Elephas maximus indicus: one gene and its partner. The protein of the gene in region 2 interacts with the protein of the main gene of each other region in a biochemical or structural test. Links are inferred from orthologs where the notes say so. Each region holds a gene or a part of one and is shown on either strand. Other genes may lie near its edges. The genes, in order: THBS1 and LRP1.

Region 1 (9,995 bases), on a different chromosome or scaffold from region 2:
GCGCTGTACACGCTCTCGTGGAACGGCTTTAGTAGAAGACCTCTCTGTTTGCAGCTTCCACTACCGCAGAGACAGTTCTAGGGCTGGCCACTTGTCACTCCATTCTGTGGGGAGTTCTCTCTTAACTGCTACTCAGAGTTGGACGTTGCAGCGTGAGGAATTTATTTAAGGGGAACCTTCAAACATCCTGGGTCAAATCTATTGAACTCTTCAAATTCATCTGGGACTTTATTTGAGGGGGAAAATAAAACCGATTAGCAGTGCTTTCCTCATCTGTAGATCTGGCTTTAAATTATATTGGAGAGGAATGGGAACTTAATGAAGTTTGCAAGCAAATCAAGCAATCTGTGATTTGTATTTAAGGTATACGTGGCTCTCTGAGCCAGGTAAACCCCCAAAGTCACTTGCCACCGGCTGGGGAGACAGCTAGAGAAACACAGGCGGTGCCATTTGAGCTAAGTAGCCAGTTATGACCTGACAATGTCGGGCTAAGTGATCTGAACAGCAATCAGTACTGTAGTAAAAGAACCATGTCACAGCTGAATACAAATCAGGACTGCAGGGCGGGGGCAGGGAAAAGAATGTTCCAACAAGGTTTTATTTACCTGACATTCAATACTTAGTGTCTGAACTAAAGCCAGTAAATTATTCAGATGTCTTAATAGATTTGTTCTCTTAGATACTCTGCCTAAGGTGTAATTAAGATTCTGAAAAACCTTCTAAGAGTTTAAAGAATTTAAAGATGTCACAACTACATCTTAAGGAAAAACCTAGAGAGGGGAAAAAAAAGCCCACTTTGGTATCAGGCCATTGAGCATGAAAAGAACTTGGATGGCCATTTGGGTATTTCCCTGGAGACTGTGGCTTCAAACACATACCACCAATTCTGGTTTTAGTTTATAAAGATCCCTCACCTGACAGCGACATTCGGTGCAGCTATCCACAGTCCATTCTTCGTTATTCCTGTACTGAACTCCGTTGTGATAGCAGAGAGGAGACCGCCTCAGCTCATTGGCCAATTCCTTGTTCTCTTCAGTCTAAAGGAGGGAGAAAGCTCATTAGTGCTTAACCTCATTTTAGGTCAGCTGGGAGCAGCAGTGGTAAACCTTCAAGGATTTATGCTGAGCAGCTGGGAACAGGGGCCACTGACCACTTTGCGGATGCTGTCCTGAAGCGTGGTGACGATGGTGCGCAGGCCCCTGAGTTCCAGGACCATGTTGGACAGCTCATCACAGGAGATGCCGCAGATGGCCTGCAGGTCCTTTGTTTTGTGGCCGATGTAGTTGGTGCGGATGGCAGGGCTGGAACCATTCACCACATTGTCGAGAGCAAGAAGGACGTTGCTAGCTGGCAAGAAACAAAAGGTAATAGAAGATCTTCAAACAGAAGCTCTCTCCAGCCAGTCCCTGGAGTTCTTCGCTGTAAAGGACACTTCCTTTGGGGCCAGGGGATGTGTGTGGAATACCCTTTGAGGTCACGTGTGTACATCTAGTAACTGTGTTACCCAGGGGGAATTCGTGCACAATCACCATTGTTTAAGTTTCTCAGGTTGTCTTGGTGGAATTCCCCAGTTTACTAAAAATAGAAGGGTACTCACAGCTGGAGCAGCCTTTGTTCCTGAGGATGTCTTCTGGTGTGGTTCCAAAGACAAACCTGACATTCTGCAGCACCCCCTGTGGACAGAGGACACACCTTACTTGTAAGTGTCGGGGGGAGGGAGGACCGCTGTCTCTATGCTAGGGAAAGCAAACCACGGACGCTCTAAAAGCTGAAAAGGGCTCCATTTTGAGACTACTCTGCCAAAACAACACGCCAATACAAATTGCCAAACTTCAACATCTGAATTGTGTCTTCTGCCAAGTCTTCAGTATTTTCCAAAGAATTCAGTTATCAGCCTACTTGGGTACACAGGACATGGACTCTGATACTAAGTCCAGTGGATAGAATGACACTCTCCAGTGTCGAAGAGTTAAATGTGGGAGTTTCAAAGCTACAGTTGCAAAGATCTAAAAGTTCAGGTGAGGAAGAAGCTGCAGCAGCACAAAACCGAATCTTCGAGTTAACCTTTTATTTGGGACCTGCTGCATCCCCTTGGAAAACCCTGGTGGCGTAGTGGTTAAGTGCTATGGCTGCTAACCAAACGGTCGGCAGTTCAGATCCGCCAGGCGCTCCTTGGAAGCTCTAATGGGCAGTCCTACTCTGTCCTATGGGGTCGCTATGAGTCGTAATCGACTCGACGGCACTGGGTTTTTGCATCCCCCTGAGGAATCAAATTGCCAAGTATTTATTCTGTGCATACAAAATAGCCACTTGAAACAATAGTAAAGTTGCTGGAATGCATTTGAACTAAGGAGTATTTAAGGCTTTAATAGGCTGAGAGTTGTTGAAGAGCCATTTCTTGTTTCCTTTAGCGGTTTTCCACGTGTCCCCAGGCTGCCAACATCCATACCAGCATCACCTGGAACTTACTAGAACTGTACATTCCCAGGCCCCACTGCAGACCTACTGACTCAAAAACTGTAACAAGCCCTCCAGGTGATTGTGATGCTCCCTAAAGTTTGAGAACCACTGCTGTCATCTACAGACAATATTTCCCGTACCGAACCTCCTGCTCCAGCAGCCAGGTCACCTGGCTAGCAGATGACCCCAGGGGCTAGGGACTTAAAGAGGAGGCCTCACCTGGAAATTGTCATTGACGCCTCCCTTTGCAATGCGGAGCCTGGCGATGCTGGCCAGGTCCCTGGTGAAGATGCTTTGGATGGGGACCTCTAGCTCAGCGTTCTCCATCTTCTCACAGTCGATGTACAGCTGGGCCCTGTCCTCCTGCACGAACAGGGTGATGCTCTTCCATTGGCCGGTTGCCAGGAGCACGTCTTCCACTGACACCACATGCTGCTTCCCCTGCACAGTCAGGCTCAGGTCCAGGGTGCCCGCCTTGCCATTGGAGACCACGCTGAAGACCTGGCCAGAGTGGTCTTTCCGCTCGAGGGCCAGCAGCGTGCCCCGCGTCTTCTTCATCTGCCGCAGAGAGGCCAGGAGGAGGAACCCCTTCTCTGCCCGCACAGCATCTACTAGGTCCTGGAACTTGTCATCGGGCACAGGGGGGATCAGATTGGCATCCTCAATGCGGAAAGCTGAGCTGGAGGGGTCAGGGCCCCTCACCAGCCGGCGCCCAGAGCCCTTGCGGGAGCCTCCGGTGAGTTCAAAGATGTCAAACACGCTGTTATCTCCCCCAGACTCTGTGAGATAGGAGGAGGATACACAGTGAGTTTTCTTGGCTGAAACAGGCGCCAGGGGTGGCGGGCTCAGCTCTGAGGGTATGGCCATAGGTGCAGAGTAAAAACTCCTGGCAACCACTGAGACAGCCAAATGAACAGCAGGACAGGAAGCTTTGGGGAAAACAACTGCAGAGGAGAGCATGGGGGCATCCCGAAGTATTCAAGCTTAGTCCAGACACCTGTGTACCCAGCACCACCTCCTCTTCCCCCTCCCCCTAGAGTTATCACAGACTCACCTGGAATGCGGTTGGTGCCACACACTTGCAGGAGGAGCAGGACACCAAGTCCCCAGGCCAGCCCCATGGTGGAGCTGTTGGTGCCCAGCAGGGAGCCTGCAGCAGGAAGCACAGAGCCAGGGTCAGAGACGCAGCAGGGAGTGTGGGCAATGCCTGGGGCCTGGGCTTGGGGCCAAGGAACCTGGGGATCCCTCTCTGGCCCCACTTCGCTGGGATGAGGCACTACAGAATTTAGTGTTCAGAGGGAATTGGGCAGAAATTGGGAGAGATGGGGGAGGGGATGTGGTTCTAAAAGTATGGGGACAATGACCAACCATGTGGGGGCTTTTTCTTGGGAAGTCGAGACGGAAAAGAAAGGCCAGCAGATGTAGTTTGGGGGAGCCCCGAGGGCACCGGAAAGGCAGTCTCCCACAGAGACGACTGAAAGGTTTGGAGAGCGCTTGGAGAAGGGAAGGAAATCTTGGGGCGTCCTGCGGGAGTTGGGGTGTGAACCCCAAGGCTGGAAAGGGTGGCTCTGGAGTTCATCCCTAAAAGACCTCCCCAGAGGCTGGGAGGGAGAGGATGGGAAAGGCGAAGACAGAGAGAGAGAATGAGATCCGAGGGTCCCCTGAGGGGCTGTCCGAAGCCTCAGGTTGAAGAACTGGTCCTCGGCGACCGTCCGGGGCCGCGGGGTGCGCTTACCTGTGTGGACGCGGCTGCAGCGGCCGGGAGTGGCGGCGCACCAAGAGGCTTGGACAGACAGACGCTGGGACGGGAGCAGCGCCCGGGGAAGCTGAAGCAGAAGTAGGAGGCTGTGCCGAGGGAGCTCGCAAGAGCCCTGAACTCACCGCCCGGCTGGGATGCAGTGGCTGCCGAGACGGCGGAGCCGCGCGCTTTTATAAAGGGTCGCTCACATTCCTGGGGATTCCTCTGGCCAATGGGCGGCGGCCGGGCAGGAAACGGAGGGGGGCCAGTCTGGGTTCCTCTCTCCGCCCCCCGCTGCCTGGCGCGCAACTTTCCAGCTCAGAAGAGAGGGAGGCGGGGGTCGGGAGCAGGGGTGCACTGCGACTTCTCAGGCGCTTGTGCCCGCCCACGCGGCCGGGCGCGCACCGGTCAGCAAGACGGCTCTTGCGCCACGCGGGCCCCCTTCCTTAAGTGGGAATATTCTGAGCAATGACGGGGCTTTGGCGACCCACCCAGGACGCTTAGGGAGCTTTCAGGCAAATCCGCCTCCTGGAATGTGTGGGCGAAGGCTGGGGGGTGTGGACTCTTGGAGACGGAGCCCGTTTGTAAAATAGGGAACCTGACGGTAAATGGGACCAAGAGACAACCAGTCATTAAAGAAAGTGTCTCTTGGGTATTTGTCGACCCATCCAGGTGGGGTGGGGAGACCCCACGCCTGGGGCTGACGGGCAGAGAGCTTCGCGCCGCGCTCCTGCCCTTCTCCGACCCACTAAGGGAGGTGATGTTGCGTTAGGACGGCAGGGGCGGCCTACCTAGTTGGCATTCACACTGCCCCTAGGCGCACACGTTCCCGCAGCGGCGGCGGGAGTCCCTGCGAAACTCTGGCCTCTGAATTGCTGCGGCGGTTCCACAGCTTGCCGCTTGGGGGCGGTATGCGAATTCTGATCGCAGGAACCCAAGAGGATTGTGTCTTTCTAGCCAGGAATTTTAAGGAAACGTATTCGTATCCAGTTCCCTCAAGCCAAAAGTGAAATTATGTCTTGAAAAACAGTTTTTGTGCCCACTCGTGCTTCTTAACGTGACTCCTGGTTGGAGAATTTGCAGAACCATCTGGCCCCAGAGTCTTAAACTATTTACAGAACAGACCCAACGAGTAATAAATTACCCTCCCTGTCTATCATTTTATTTCCCCCTTTCCTCGCTAAACGTTCTTTTCATTTTTCGGCTCCCGAAACCGAAGTGTGGGTTACATTTCTGTGGGTGCACACAGTGCCATGAGAGCTGTTGCCTAATGTTTCTGTCATTGGAAGTCTGGTCTCCAAGCCACTGTCCCAGCCAGCGTGATGACTGGAGCTGCCTGGAATTCCATTCATCTCTTCGGGCTGGGACGTCAGCAGCCACCGTTTCCCTTGCTGTGGTCCAGCGCTATCAGGCCGCCCGCCCGGAGACACAGGGCGCAGGTAGTGGCTTTACCAAATAAGGATCTCAGCCTCAGGCCGGCATAACCCCTTGGGTCCACCTCCCTTTCTTAGTACTTACACTTGGCAGAACTCATAGCTGCTGGAAACACCCATGAGTTTACATTCATCAAACAGCAATTTCACTTTTCTGGCGTGGGGGTGTTGTGTGACAAGGTGCATGTGTGTGCGGGGACAAAAGAGTGCGTGTTTTCCGGTTACTCCAGTACCTCTAGAAGATGACAAGTGTGTTCCTAAGACACGTTTGTTGCTTAATAACTGAACTTGACAGCCAGAGAGATTTCAGATGTTGAGAGGCAGAAATGAAAGTTTCTGTCAGATAAGTAGTCAAATCAGATTCCTGTCCTGGAAGTCAGAGGTAATGATTCATCTGAGCCCCTCTGAAGATTTCAGGGTCAGCAGCCACCCGTGTAACTTCCCCCTTGTTGCTACTTCCCCAGCTTCCGGTTTGCTCCTTGAAAGATGGTTTATTTTTTCTTACTTGCTGTTCTTCATGACACCTGGTACACAGGAACAGTTCTTGGAGGAATGGCCAGCTGATGGCCTACAGACGTCTCTGGCCCATTTGATAATTTATACAGATGAGATGAGGGCTTCTAGGTCTACAAGAAGGCCACAAAGACAGGAAGCACCTTTCCTTAAAAGATGACCTCCACTCAACGTAACTGAACGGGTAGAGTAGAAACAAACATTTGTGACTAAGGGATTGTAGGAACGTGTCTGGAGTTTTCCTGGAATTTGGCTTCTTTCAACAAAACAAGAATAAGTTTAACCTTCTACATGCTTTACAAATAGAAAGGTGACGGAGATACTGGCAGGGAGGGGCTGTCTTTTCAGAGAAAGCCGACAGAGGTATAGCCAGTTGCTGTCAAGTAAACTCTGACTAACGGTGATCCCACGCGTGTCAGACAGAGCTGTGCTCCATGGCGTTTTTTGGGAAGGAGATCACCAGGATTTTCTTCTGACGTGCTGCTGGGTAAACTTGACCTGCCTGCCTTTTGGTTAGCAGACAAGCCTGTTAACTGCTTGCCTGACCCAAGGACCTGACAGAGGCATAGGAGTTATTTATCTCAAACACAAAGGCCTTCCCCAACGCATGGTTTTCCAGTTGTTCTGGTGGAAAGGAAGACTTCTAGTGGAAAGGAGTAGGGGAGAGTTTGGGCAGCTTTTAGGAGCTCACCCACATTCCTGCTGGTCAATGTGGGCTACGAATATTTGACAGACGCCTCAAATCCCTCTGGGAAGCTTTGGAAGGTGTAGGAATGGAAAGATGGGAATGGGAAAGAAAGTCTACCTACTTTAATGTGGGGGGTATCATCCCTTGTGTGTGTGTGTGTGCGCGAGCATGCACGTGTATCCTCGACTTAGAAATGCTAGGATTTCAGGCCAATAAGCTGATATGAACCTAAGTTGTCATTCTTGAAGATCACTTACTGACCTGAGGATTACTTAAAATAAAATTGTAAGCCATATGATACTTTTGCTGTAGGATTTTCTTCTTCCATGTTCCCCTAATTGGAGGTGGGAGTGCCCTAAATATATTGCCAGTAAATGGGAAGAAAAACTGTAAGTAGTAGTTAGTTTAAGAATTGTATGTGATTAAGAATAGCAAGATAACTGAGAAAAAAAATTATTTATTTATCAAAAAACATCAAAGAGGGCTGTGATTTTGTGTAGGTATTTAAAAAATTGCTTGACATGCTCAGCACTGGAAAACTTCTTAGAGGTGAGCAGCAAAAAATCTCTACAATTATATGCTGGAATAGTCCAAAATCATAGCATCTGCAGAATACAGACATCATAAATTCATCTTCTCTGGATATTTTCCCTAGATCACGGAACAAAGTGGTTTTAGTTCAGCTACCTCAATGTTCAGAGCCAGAGGAAACTGCCCATAAATATTTCTCATCCTTCAATCAAACACAGACTCAAGCTCCCCTCCACCAGAAGATGTTCTCCATGGGTTTACGTTACATTGTCTCTTCTTTCTTTGAAACTGTGAAGCATGTCTTATCTCTACCACGTAACTCATCATCTGACACTCTGGTTTTCAAAAATTTTAAATCAATTTTTGTTTTCTTGTGTGTAAGTACCAGATTGTAAGTACTCAAAGGCTTAGATTTGGGAAGAAGCCTTTTATGCTCCAGTCAATTTATAGCATAGAAGGACTGACCAGCTGTATACCATTTCATGCAGTTATGACTTAGCTCTTGGGATGGTCGTTGTGACTGACTCCCCTCCCCACAGAATTGAAGCAATACTCTTGGGGAATTGACCTCAGTAGGAGAGGGTAGAACTATTGGTTTAAGGGTAACCTCCGCCTCCATCACTGATTGGCTTGGCAATTGACATGTGACCAGATTTTGGCCAACGAGAGGTTTGTTGAAGGCTTCTGGGAAAAGTTCTTCCTTGCTTTTAAGAAAAACAAAAAAAAGCCTGTAAAACCAAACCCATTGCCATCAGTGGATTTAGAATTACAGCCACCCTATAGGACAGGGTAGAACTGCCCCATAGGGTTTCTAAGGCTGTAATCTTTATAGAAGCAGTCTGCCATATCTTTCTCCCGCAGAGCAGCTGGTGGGTTTGAACTCAACCTTTCAGTTAGCAGCTGAATCCTTTAACCACCATACCACCAGACTCCTTGCTCTTAAGAAAGACCAATGTGAGATCAGGCTTTCTCTGTCTCCATTTGGGCACAAACAAGAATGCCCATATGCTCTGTTTGGTGCTCTTGGCCACAAGGGGAGCCGAACTTAGCATGAAACCAATGCTGTAGAAGTAAGAGCAAAAGGATGGAAACAATCTTTAATTTAGATCACATTTTTGAGGTGCTGACTATACCAACCCTAAAGGCCATCCTACCTCCAGATTTCCTTGGACATATGCCTATTATTTAAGCCTTTTTTTTTTTTTTTTTTAATTACTTAGAGCCACAAACATAGCTGGTACAACTTTTTCCCTTCTTTGGGTTTTCCTTTTCACTCACACCCCTGGCCCTCCATCTCACTCCTTTTTCTGGCCAACCACCAGTTTCAAGGTCTCCATCTTTCAAAGTCCAACTCAAATATTGTCACTCTGAGTAGCTTGCTCTGACAGCTTGTCTCAGCACTCGCACACACGCACACATTCATACATCAGGTACATTTATGGCCCCTCCCTCACCTTTGTTACCATAGCATTTTACATAGAACTATTTTAGCATTCATTGCCTATGTTTTTAATTGTTTATTGGTCAGTTTTTGTGTCTGGGCAGATTGTTTGCTTTGTAATCTCTGCTTCATCAGCTGTTGTTGAATAAATGGATAAATTGATGGGTGGGCAGTTTTAGTGCTTGTCTAGTTCATGCATTTTATTGATGACGAAACCTATTTCTTTTAATTTTTCTTTAGCACCTTGAAGAGCACTGAGCGCCTGGTTATCCCACAGTAGTACAACAGAAGAGGAGAATGTAACTTAGTTCTGTAACTTTTTGTTTTCTTATTGAGGTTCTAGAGGTGTCACTGTCTTTATTTTCCAAAGGATGTGGAGCAATAACAATATATTTGGAAATAGTAAAGAATTTCCTGAAAGTGAAGGTTATAACAGATTGGAATGTTGCTGAAATAGGTTGTGAAATATTTTATGGATATCTTCACAAATAATATGGATTATGCAGTTAATCTGGAATCTGGGCTAGGTTTCATCTCAGAGATACGAAGATTCCACAGTGATACATGGAGCAACTTCCAGAGCCCTGTTCACTAAAAGAGTCTATGAATCTGCAAATGTATGAAACAATGGAGTTTCCAGAACTTGCAAGAGAGAGTTTGCTTCTGACACTGATTAAACACAATTTTCCTAAAGAATTTAACTTTTCTGAGGCTTAACATGCTACTTCAAGCCACCCATTTAGAAATGATAATTTTTCTAAACAGCCTTCACAAGTGCAATCTATTTCCGACTTTTCTGTTATTTTTTTTTTTCTCTTAGAAGAAAATTACTAGTGTCAGTTAAAATAATAAGACAATAAATGTAAAGAAAAATCCTAGTATGGCTGGGAAGTGTTGGGGTGGTGTGAAAAGATTTGAAGATTGAAAATGACATGGAGATTGGCATCCACTTTAAGTTGGAATGAAAGACCCACATGCCGTGGGCAATGTGGACAGTGACCAAATGGCTGGGTTGCTGGGCATTTGTTTTAAGTGACTTCAATCTCTTGGGAGGTTACTTTTTCTACTGTTGTTTTTTAAATAGTGAGATCGTGACAACTTGTGTTTTGTAGAACTCAGCCAAAAGAATTGTCACTCTTTCTAATTTAAGAAGATGAGTGTAAGGTCAGAAAAAAGCTTTTAGTCTTATTA
Region 2 (10,839 bases):
ACAGAGAGGTTCTGAAAGGCAGAGACAACATAGCCAATGACAGGCAGACAGAGAGAGGCAAAAAAGCCAGGAAGGGGTCTCAGCCCAGAGGTTGCCAAGACGATAACACAGTTGTCCTGGGATGAATCCAGAGAGTGAAAACTCCCCTAAGACTCATATACCTAGCATATACCCCAGGCTGAGGAGGCAAAATCCCTGGCCTAGGAGTGCCTGACCCAGAGGAGACTCAGAATAGGTACCATAGGGGTGGGAGAGAGGGAGGAAGGGAGGAGGGCTGGAGCCCCTCGGCCTAGGAGGGACTCTCATCTCCCTGCAGAAGTCAGAGAGATGACTGCCCCCTCCATCTTTCTCAGGGTGGCCTTACACTGGGACCTGGGGCCACTGCTCCGGAAGCACTCCAGAGCCAACTGCTTCCTTCTCCAAACAATGCAGGATCCTGCTAACCCAGCTGAAATCTGGGACAGAACACGATGGGGGAGCAGGTTCCCTGAATGCTCATACCCGGTTGAGGATCTCTGCACAGCCCCACTCAACTCCACCCGAGGGTAGTGAGCCCCACATCCAGAGATGGAGAGTTTGAGGGTGTGCGAGAGGACCTTGAGAAGATAACACCGAAGGGGGATAAGCCCTAGGCCTGGGGGCTCTGAAGTGCAAAGGCTGACACTACAGCATGAGGGAAGAGAGTTAGACTTGAAGGAAGGGCTTCCCCAAGGTAAGGAAGGTGCTTTGAAGAATGGGGGATTTGGCTCTAGCCAGGGTCCTGGCTGACATCCTTAGGAGCCACAGTGATGGAGGAGTGGTTGAGGGCAAAAAAATATGGAGAAAATGGAGGGAGGAAGAGCAGGACTGGAAGAAAAGAAAAATTGTGGAGCAGTCTCAAACATCAAAATATCCCTTCAATCCCAAAATTAACAACCTATACATCCCTGCTTTGGAAAACGAGGCTGAAGGGGGATGTTCAAGGATTTGGGTCTGGTCAAGGGAAAAAGGGGCTTGGGACATCTCTCGGGGAGCCAGAAGGCTAACACCCTAGCCTCCAAACTCACTTCAACTGTACACCTTGCCTGATCACTGGTAATAAACCTGCTCAAGGGGGTTTTGGAGACAGGTAGGGAGAGAGGGTGGAAGCCGACCTTCTTCCCTATGTCTGGCTGCCTAAGCTCAGCTGGGCCCTCAATACTCTCTCTTCCCACTCCCCACCCCATCTCTTTCTCATCTTCTTCAGTAACAATTGCACTCAATTTTGTCTACTAGTGGGGAGTGGCATTGCTCCCCAGAGAGAAAGGGGTTCCAGGGGGTAGGTTCAGACCCAGAAGATAAGGCCAAAGCAAGGTGGGGAAGGCCTCCAGGACTGCTCCTATGGGGGGAAGGCAGCCAGACCTGTGACAGAAGGAGGAAGGAAGGTTAGACACTAGGTCAGGTAACCTGGGGTCAAGAGGTTTTCTTCTGTAGAAAGCAAAGGAGAAAGTTCAGTCTCTGTAGGCCTGAGGCATGAGGGCAGGAGTATGGATAAGGGGATCCTCTAGGCTACTCCTGGATAGAGTTGGACTGTGGTATAACCCACTGCTGTCAGTCGATTCCGACTCATAGCGACCCTACAGGACAGAGTAGAACTGCCCCATAGAGTTTCCAAGGAGCGCCTGGCGGATTCGAACTGCCGACCTCTGGGTTAGCAGCCATAGCACTTAACCATTACGCCACCAGGGTTTCCGACTGTGGTATGGTTCTGAGCAATTCTGAGATTCCCATCCCCCAGAGTGAGGTGGAACTGATTTTTCATATTTCCATTTCCAAGATGAGGCTATTAGTGGGTATCTGGGAAGAAGTCCTCTCCTAGGACTTTGGATAGAGTTCAGTCTGAGCAGGGAATACAGAGGGGGGCTGGGCAGGGACTTTAAGGAAGGGTAGGGTCGCTATGAGTTGGAATCGACTCGATGGCAGTGGGTTTTTTTTTTTTTAGGGAGACAGTAAGGAGAACATGTCCAGTCTCCCTCTTCTAATATCCACCAGCCAACTTGGTGTGACAAATATACCCGCTTTAGAGCCCTGTTGCTATGAGTTGGAATCGACTTGATGGCAACAGGTCTGGTTTTGGATTCAGAGCCCTGGGAGTGAAGCTACCTAGGGCCCTTCCTGGCTGGGCCAGGGACCTTTTTGTGCTTTCCACAGAGACTCCCTTGCTTCGGCCCAACTCCATCCACCCTCCGTAACAGGACTTCTGATGTGTCTGTCTCTCTTTCTTAAAAAAAAAAAAAAAAAATGTTTTTTCCACCCATTCCCAGACACTCCTGCACCCAAATCCCTTTACCTCAGTTTGTCCCTGTGGGGTGCCACAGGGCTGTGAACAAGAGAAAAGAACAGGCATGAAGGAGGGAGTCCTGAGTAGGGGCTGGCACTCGTCTGCAGGGTATTCAGGGCACAGCCTCTTCCCTTCTCTTGGGCACATAATTGAGGTAGATGGGGTGGGGGGGAGCAGACAGACAGTCCCCAAGATGGCATAATTGAGGGCCACTGAATATACCCTTCTTTCTTTGCACAGCTGCTTCCTGGCCCCAGGAACTGATGAAAATTGGGGGGAGGGGAGGAGAGGGAGAGATAATCTGGTTTTAGAGAAAAACTTTCCCAATCCCAACCTGGCAAAATTTAAAAGATGGAGGAGGGGGTGAGTGGGGGAAAGAAGGGCTGTTTCTAGTTACAGGCAGATACTGGGCCCAGTTTCATCCCTGGATGAGGGGGCTAAGATGCCAGGAAGGGATGTGAGTCCATCCTTTCTCAAATCAGGGGCCCAGCCCAGCCCCATGGTCCCAGCTGAAAGCTTGGGCAAGACTTGAACCAGTGACTCACAAGTAAGAGAAAAAAACAGCTGGCAGAAAAAGGGGAGGGGTAACTCCCTTTTCCCTAAGGAACACAGTTCTAGCTTAAGCCTAACTCTCTGTACTATACAAAGTGTGTGTGTATGGGAGGCAGAGAAGTAAATAAACACATTTACCAAAGGACAGGGAATTAGAGGGTGGGGGATAGCCGTAAACCCCACCCAATCTCCAACTCTCCTTCTAGTGCAAACTGTGATCAAGCAGAAGTCAGGAAGAAAGCAGCCTTGCAACACCCCCCCCCCCACCCCCCGCACTCCAGGCCATTCTCTAGTCCCCTTCCCCAATGATGACATCTGACTTTTTTTTTTTTTTCCATCTCAACGCTCCCAGGAATTATTAAAGAAAATTCAGTCACATAGCATCGCCTGCCCCCCCACTCCGCCCCCCAACACAGCCCTACCCAGGCTACTGACAGAGGCCCTGAGAGGGGGAAGTGCTGAATCCAGAACCCAGGAGGGTAGGTAGCCCGTTGGATCCTGGACCCAGGCCTCCATGCCTGGGCTCTGGGGCCCAGATTCCACACCCAAGCAGGGGGCCTTCCCCGTGGTCCTCCCTCTCCCCACCCACAGCTTTCCTGGGCCTGCTAGCCCTCTGCCCAGCAGGACGCCCCTGGCCCAGATCCCCGGTGAGCTTCAGAGGCCACTGCAGAAGGTCCCCCGCCCCCTTTTGCTGCCGTATATCGCAAATCCGAATTCCTTCACAATTCAAATGGGGGGGGGGTGTATGAAGGAGAGGTGGAGGCCCTCCCCGACCAGAGATAGAAAGAGAAGGCCTCTCGATCCCAGGATCAGAAAGGGGGAGCCCTCTTCTCCCTATCCAGGCCTATGGCCTTTGTCTGGCCTGGGGGGTCCTGGAAGCATCATTTGCCTAGGGCCCCCATCCCCCAAATCAGACCCCCATCGGTGTCCCCAGTGGGGCCGCTGCTGTGTCAGCTGGACTGGGATAACAAAAGGCACCCCCTCCCGCGTCTCCCTTCCCCATCCGTACGCAGGAACGGGGGCTGGGGAGGGGGTGTCCCCAGGGGTCCCGGGGGCCGCGGAATCTCACTCACCGTCGATAGCCGCCGTGACCAGAGCTGAGAGCAGGGGCAGCAGCAGCAGCCACGGCGGGGTCAGCATGGTGCGGGCTGATGTAGGCAGCAGCCCCCTCCCCTCCGGTCCTGCTACTTCTCGCCTTCGCCCCCCCATTTGGGGGGTCCCCCTTTTTCCTCCTTTCCCCCCCTCCTCTATTCTTATTCTTTCCTTCGGCCAAGCTCACCAGGGGTGTGGGTGAAGAGGCAGAGTTCGGAGCCCCTTAGAGAGGGCCTGCTGACGGGGGTGCGCCCAGTGCCCCCAAATCCAAACCCTTCACCCACTGCTTTTCTCCTCGCTCCTCTCTCCCCCTCCCCGGGCAAGCTCACAGCCCCATCTGAGAGCCGCCTCCGGCTGCAAAAATGCACAATTGGGAGGAGGCGGGGGTGGGGTGGGGGGCGTGGACCGGGTGGGGGAGCCTTTGGAAGGGGTCTGATGGAGCTCTGGGGGCTCCCCTCGTTTCCGCCTCCTCAGTGCACTGGCCGGGAGCTCGAACCGCTGTTCCCCGGCCTGAGGTGCAGCGGGGGGGGGCCAAGGGGGAGAGGGAGGGGACGTGGAGAAGAGGGAGGGAGGGAAGGGGCGGGGAAAGAAAAGGGGGGGGGAAGAGCTACGCGGCAATCCGGTTAGTGCGCATGCGCGGGTTTGGCGAGCTGCCCTGGGGTGGGGGCTCCATAGGAGCAGCAAGACTTGGAACTCTGAGAAGCGGACGGAGCGTAGGGGTCCCGGGGCCAGCTAGCCGGCTTGGGGTCCACAGCGCCCTCTCTCCTAACAGAGCGCGCCCCTGCGGAGAGCTGGACGGGCGGAGGGGGGATTGGGCAGTGGGCGAAGAGAACGGCTTGTCTTTGAAACTCGGTGTCGTGCCCTAGGATTTCAGGCTCCCTCTTGGGGGGTCCAATATCCCGTGGTCTGGGGCGAGGCCGGATTTCCTCGGGGAACCCGGCCTGTGCCTTCTCAGCTTGGGGTGGGGGTAGGGGTGGGGGTGGGGGCGGGGGTGGGGGCGGGGGTGGGGGTGGGGGTGGGTGTTGGGGCCTCCAATCCTCGGGGAAGGTACGGGGACAGACTGAGCTTTGATTTGGAGACTTTCTAAACCGGTGACTGGGATTGGGGCCTGCAGCGGAGGGGGCGGGGTGGGGGAGGGGCCGCCCCCACTCGCTCCCGGGTTTGGAGTAAACAGGGACACCCGCGGGGACACGCCAGAGCTTGTCCATTCACCTAGGGCTCCGGGATGGAGCCCACCTCAAGTCCCGCTCCGCCTTGCTTGCCTGGCACCGGGCGCCGGAGGGGCAGGCCCTGGTTTGGAGGGAGGTGAGTCACTAGCGGGTGGGGTTGAGGAAGGGCCACCCCCCCTTGCCCCAAGATATGGGGGCTCGTTTATTTTTTTGTTTTTATACCTTTGGGCTGGGTTCTCACCAAATCGGGGTTTTAGATTCTGAGCAGCAGAGATTTGGAGTAAGATGAAGAACTCTGGACCTCCAATTCCAGGCCTCGGGGTGCCTGCTGAGGGCTGGACCTTTGTCCCGGCCCTGATCCCTTACGGGAATGCTACTTTGAGTCCAGAAGGCGCCAGGCGGTTCCCAGAGCCCGGCGAATGTGCTTCTGGCCACCGCCCCCTTCTGGGCGATGTTTAAAGCTGTGGTGTCTGACTTTCTGGGTGTCTGGAAGTCAGGGTTCAGGGACCTAGGGCAGGCGACTTGGACTGCCAGAAACTGACTTTAGAGATAAGGGACATTGGACCACCCATCTTCCTAAAATTCTAGTCAAGGAAGGGCCCCAAACCCCCACTCCAATCTGCCCCTGGCTGAAAAGTGAGCATCGTGGAGGACTTGGCTGTTAATGACAGTGGGAGGGAGTGAGAATCTCGACTTTTCCCCCAAGCCTGTGCTGCTTCTGGGCTTGCTTGGCTCGGCCATCCTCACCCGTCTTTAGTCACCTAGGCTAGAAGCCTCAAAATTATTGCCAACTTCTCAGGGCCTTTCTTACATCCAATTGTGCAAGCCTATGTTCAAGGCCTGTCATTTTTCCCTTTGAAATCTATCTATGATTTCCTCCATTTCCACTTCCAGACAAAGTTTTTCTGGGTAGAGGTGGGGTCTTACCTATCCTTTTATCCAGCCCTCATGGCCCAGCGCTGTGCCAGGCACACGGCAGGGACTAACTAAATGTTATTAATGAATACCTGCTAGGTTCCTTCCTCTGCCAGGGCCCCTACCAATATTGTCATCCAAGTGAAATTAGGTTAAAATAGGCTTCAGGCAGCTTTGAAAGTAAAAAGATACCTGGAGTGACCATAGGTAGCCCCAGGGGGCTGTGAGAGGGCAGTCTCATTCCCCCTCCCCTCTGTCAGTCTTCCTAAAATTCTGCTTTCCTGTCTCTCTTCCTTGTTGGTAAACTTCTGCTGGGTATCTGTAGACAACTAAACCAAATGTGAACTTTTCTCCCAGACAGTCATGGTGTAAAACCTGGCCTTGGCCAGCCTGTAAGACTTTTCACTTTTTACCTCCCAACGTACCCCAACTGCCATCTCCTGAATGTGAATGTGTATTCATTTTTATGAACTTTATGTTGTGAAAAAGAATGCATGCTTCACTATTCACAAAAGGTGAATGTCCATCCAGAGATAGATGAATGAATAAACAAAATGTGCTGTATATATATACAATGGAATACTACTCAGCTATAAAGGAAAATAAAATCTTGACACATATTACAACTTGGATGAACTTTGAAAATGTACTGAGTGAAATATATCAGTCACAGAAGGACAAATATTGTATGGTCCCACTTATATGAAGCAGGCAAATATATAGAGACCAAAGTTTGTTGGTGGTTACCAGGGGTGGGAGTAAAGATTGGAGGTGGATCCATTTCTTAGGGGACACTGAGTTTCTGTTCATGGCAGTGGAGTAATTTGGAAAAGGATAGTGGTGATGGTCATACAGCATAATGAACAAAATCAATGTCACTGAATTGTACATGTAAAAATTGTTGAATTGCCAAATGTTTTGTTATATATTTTTTTACCACAATTTAAAGATATAATACATGCTTAGTGGTTAGAACAACCCAGAGCATAGAAGGGTACAAGGTGAAGAGTAAACTTGCTGCTTTCCACATTACCATTCTTGAGCCCCACCCTCAGAGTAACCACTACTAACAGTTCCCTGGGTATCCTTCCAGGAGTTTTTAAATATATATATAAATGAATATCCTTAAAATAATACAAATGAATTCATACAATATATACTGTTCTGTAACTTGCTTTTTCAACAAACTTATCTTGGTCCCTTTACACATAGTATGTATATGTCTTTCATACTATTTATATCTGCTATTTGGAATCTGGAAACCCTGGTTGCATAGTGGTTAAAATGCTATGGCTGCTAACCTAAAGGTCGGCAGTTCAAATCCTCCAGGTGCTCCTTGGAAACTCTATGGGGCAGTTCTACTCTCTCCTGTAGGGTCACTATGAGTTAGAATCGACTTGATGGCAATGAGTTTGTTTTTTTTTTTTTTTAATTTGGAATCTGCTTACTTGGGTACCCCAATCTATTGAGATTGGTTGGCATTTGGGTAATTTCCAGTATGTGAAGTGCTGAGGTGTCTCTGTGAGATGAGAGAATGCATATTTCTACCTGAGCCTTTAATTATACTGTTTCCCCAGCTTCCCCTCAGAAAAGCTCTCTTGTTATTCTCGCTCTGCCCATCTATTGTTTTTCAAACTTGCTCTCAAGATAGCCTGAGTACTCAGAGTTTAGCACTTAATTATGTGTGTCCTATATCCACCACCAAAGTATAAACTTCTCGAGGACAGGGACCATGTCTTTACTTCTTGGTATCCACTCAGTGTTAGGAGTTCTTGACTGATCCGTGGGGAGCCTGTCAAGAGTGTTAGAACTAGGGGCACCTGCCCTGGTAGAGGAGACAGCCATTAATAACTATTGTCGAATAGGGTATGACTGGAAACCCTGGTGGTGTAGTGGTTAAGTGCTACGGCTGCTAACCAAGAGGTCGGCAGTTTGAATCCACCAGGTGCTTCTTGGAAACTCTATGGGGCAGTTCTACTCTGTCCTATAGGGTCACCGTGAGTCAGAATCGACTCGACGGCAGTGGGTGGTGGGTAGGGTATGACTGTAAGCATTTTGCTTCCTCATGTTTTCCTATAGCACTCATCTTTCAATTCCTCTCTGCCTTAGTTTCTTCTCTTTCTCCCCACTTCTATTCTTAAGAAACTTTTCCTTTTATCTTCAAACCCTTGGGTTAGATTATACAGAAAATAATGGGATATCAGGGAAGAATTCTCTGCAATCCATAATCAGGATACCTAGAATGGTGGCAGTGGGCAAAGAAGTTGATGTGGGAAGAGGATATCTCCTTTTTTTTGGATCCTTCAGCAAATTTTTCAGCAAATTATTAAACATCCCCCTTTCTTCATTGAGGAAACCCTGGGTTGGTAGTAGTTAAGAGCTTGGCTGCTAAGCAAAAGGTCAGCAGTTCAAATTCACTAGCTGCTCCTTGGAACCTTATGGGGCAGTTCTACTCTGCCCTGGAGGGTCGCTGTGAGTTGGAATCCACTGGATGGCAATGGGCTTGGTTTTTTTTTTGTTGTTGTTTTTTTCTTCTTCATTGAGTGTAACATTGCCTGGGATGGGGCATTAATAGGGCAGCTCTGGGAGTGTCAGGCCAGACTGTCACCACCTAGTGGTCAGTTAGAGAAGTGTGATTAGGAAGGCGTATCTCTGAAGGATCTGGTAGAAGGTGGGGAGAGAAAAGAGAATGAAGATTTATTGAATGGTTACCATGTGCCAGGCCCATATAATAGATTTTACATGGAAACCCTGGTGGCATAGTGGTTAAGAGCTATGGCTGCTAACCGAAAGGTCGGCAGTTCGAATCCACCAGACGCTCCTTGGAAACTCTGTGAGGCAGTTCTACTCTGTCCTACGGGGTCGCTATGAGTAGGAAGCGACTCAGCAGCAATAGGTTAGTATGGGTGAGTTAGCTCACTGAAGTCTCAAAGCCACCTTGTGACATAGGTGTTATTTCCAGTTCGTAGATAAGGAAATAGAAGTTCAGAGAGATTAAGGAATCTGCCCCAAATCACAGTGCAGATTTGAGCCCAGGTTTCATTCATTTAAGAAACATTTATTAGGTACCCCGGATGTGCCAGGAGGCACTAGGGATATGAGATGGAAACACAGTCTCAGCCTTCAAGAAGCTTACAGGATAGTGGGGTTGCTCTATAAAAAAAGGTGATTGACAATTACACTAAGTGCCCTAATGTCTATGTTAAAGGCATGCATGAGACCCATGGGAATCAGGGAAGCACACCTATTCCAGATAAGGGGATCAGGGCAGAGCATGGCAGATGATGCCGGGGTAAAGGTTGAAAGGGAGGAAGGAAATAAAAAAGGAGGAAGGAAACAGCAAGTGAAAACAGAAGGAAAGGGTGTTTTAAGCAGGAGGGCAGGCAAAGATACGGAAGCATGAGGAAGCTTAAAACATTTGAGGAACTGCAAATATGGTATGGCTGAAGTTTAACATACTTATTGGAGAGGATGATGGATGAAGTGTCAGGGACCCTAATCACAAAGGGCCTTGTGTGCTAAACTAAGGACTTAACATTTTTTTCTAGAAGTAGTGGGGAGCCAGGTGAGAAATCGATGTCTTTAAAAATTCTTGCATCAGTGATAGAGTTGGAGAGGAAGAGAAGGATTCTATAGACACTAAGGAGGGTAGGATCAGGTATACCATTTGGTTTTTCATTTGTGCCTAGAGCGGAGTGACAGAGAAAGGTTTAAAACTTTGGCTCACATTAGAATGTTCTCAGAGTTCTCAAACTTTGGCTGCACCTTAGAGTCACCTGGGGAGCTTTTAAAAATCCCAGTGCTTGATTAGGTAGTAGATAAGAACTACTTTAGGTGAAGGGAAGGATAATACTCAATACACAGAAGGTCGGCTCAACTGGACTGGACCAAAAGCAAAGAAGTTTCCGGGATAAACTGAATGCTTTGAAGGTCAGCAGAACAAGGGCGGGGGTTTGGGGACTATGGCTTAAGGGGACTTCTAAGTCAATTGGCAAAATAATACTATTATGAAAACATTCTGCATCCCACTTTGAAGTGTGGCATCTGGGGTCTTAAATGCTAACAAGCGGCCATCTAAGATGCATCAATTGGTCTCAACCCACCTGGATCAAAGGAGAATGAAGAACACCAAGGTCACACGATAACTATGAGCCCAAGAGACAGAAAGGGCCACATGAACTAGAGACTTACATTATCCTGAGACCAGAAGAACTAGATGGTGTCCGGCCACAACCGATGACTGCCCTGACAGGGAACACAACAGAGAACCCCTGAGGGAGCAGGAGAACGGTGGGATGCAGACCTCAAATTCTCATAAAAAGACCAGACTTAATGGTCTGACTGAGACTAGAGGAATCCAGGTGGTCATGGTCCCCAAACCTTCTGTTGGCCCAGGACAGGAACCATTCCTGAAGACAACTCATCAGACATGGAAGGGGATGGACAATGGGTAGGAGAGAGATGCTGATGAAGAGTGAGCTACTTGTATCAGGTGGACACTTGAGACTGTGTTGGCATCTCCTGTCTGGAGGGGAGATAGGAGGGTAGAGAGGGTTAGAAACTGGCAAAACAGTCACAAAAGGAGAGACTGGAAGGAGGGAGCGGGCTGACTCATTAGGGGAAGAGTAAGTGGGAGTATGTAGTAAGGTGTATATAAATTTATATGTGAGAGACTGACTTGATTTGTAAACTTTCACTCAAAGCACAATAAAAATTATATTAAAAAAAAAAATCCCAGTGCTGGAGAACTTATACTAGTTGACTTTAAGACTTGTAAGCTACAGTAAGCAGGACGGTGTGGTACTGGCATAA

Evidence for each region.
Region 1: the proteins of LRP1 (region 2) and THBS1 form a complex in vitro, tested with the Homo sapiens proteins (3 studies listed by BioGRID). The link is inferred for Elephas maximus indicus from reciprocal best matches to the Homo sapiens genes LRP1 and THBS1.

Annotation. Positions count from the first base shown.
Region 1 is NC_064828.1:16,526,392-16,536,386, forward strand, and holds the start of THBS1 (thrombospondin-1), read right to left. Parts: upstream 4,373-9,995; 5' UTR 4,196-4,372; intron 3,611-4,195; 5' UTR 3,582-3,610; coding exon 3,515-3,581; intron 3,240-3,514; coding exon 2,680-3,239; intron 1,674-2,679; coding exon 1,598-1,673; intron 1,348-1,597; coding exon 1,151-1,347; intron 1,038-1,150; coding exon 915-1,037; intron 1-914. UniProt on the Homo sapiens protein: Adhesive glycoprotein that mediates cell-to-cell and cell-to-matrix interactions.
Region 2 is NC_064822.1:117,049,567-117,060,405, reverse strand, and holds the start of LRP1 (prolow-density lipoprotein receptor-related protein 1), read right to left. Parts: upstream 4,459-10,839; 5' UTR 4,061-4,458; coding exon 3,925-4,060; intron 1-3,924. UniProt on the Homo sapiens protein: Endocytic receptor involved in endocytosis and in phagocytosis of apoptotic cells. Required for early embryonic development. Involved in cellular lipid homeostasis.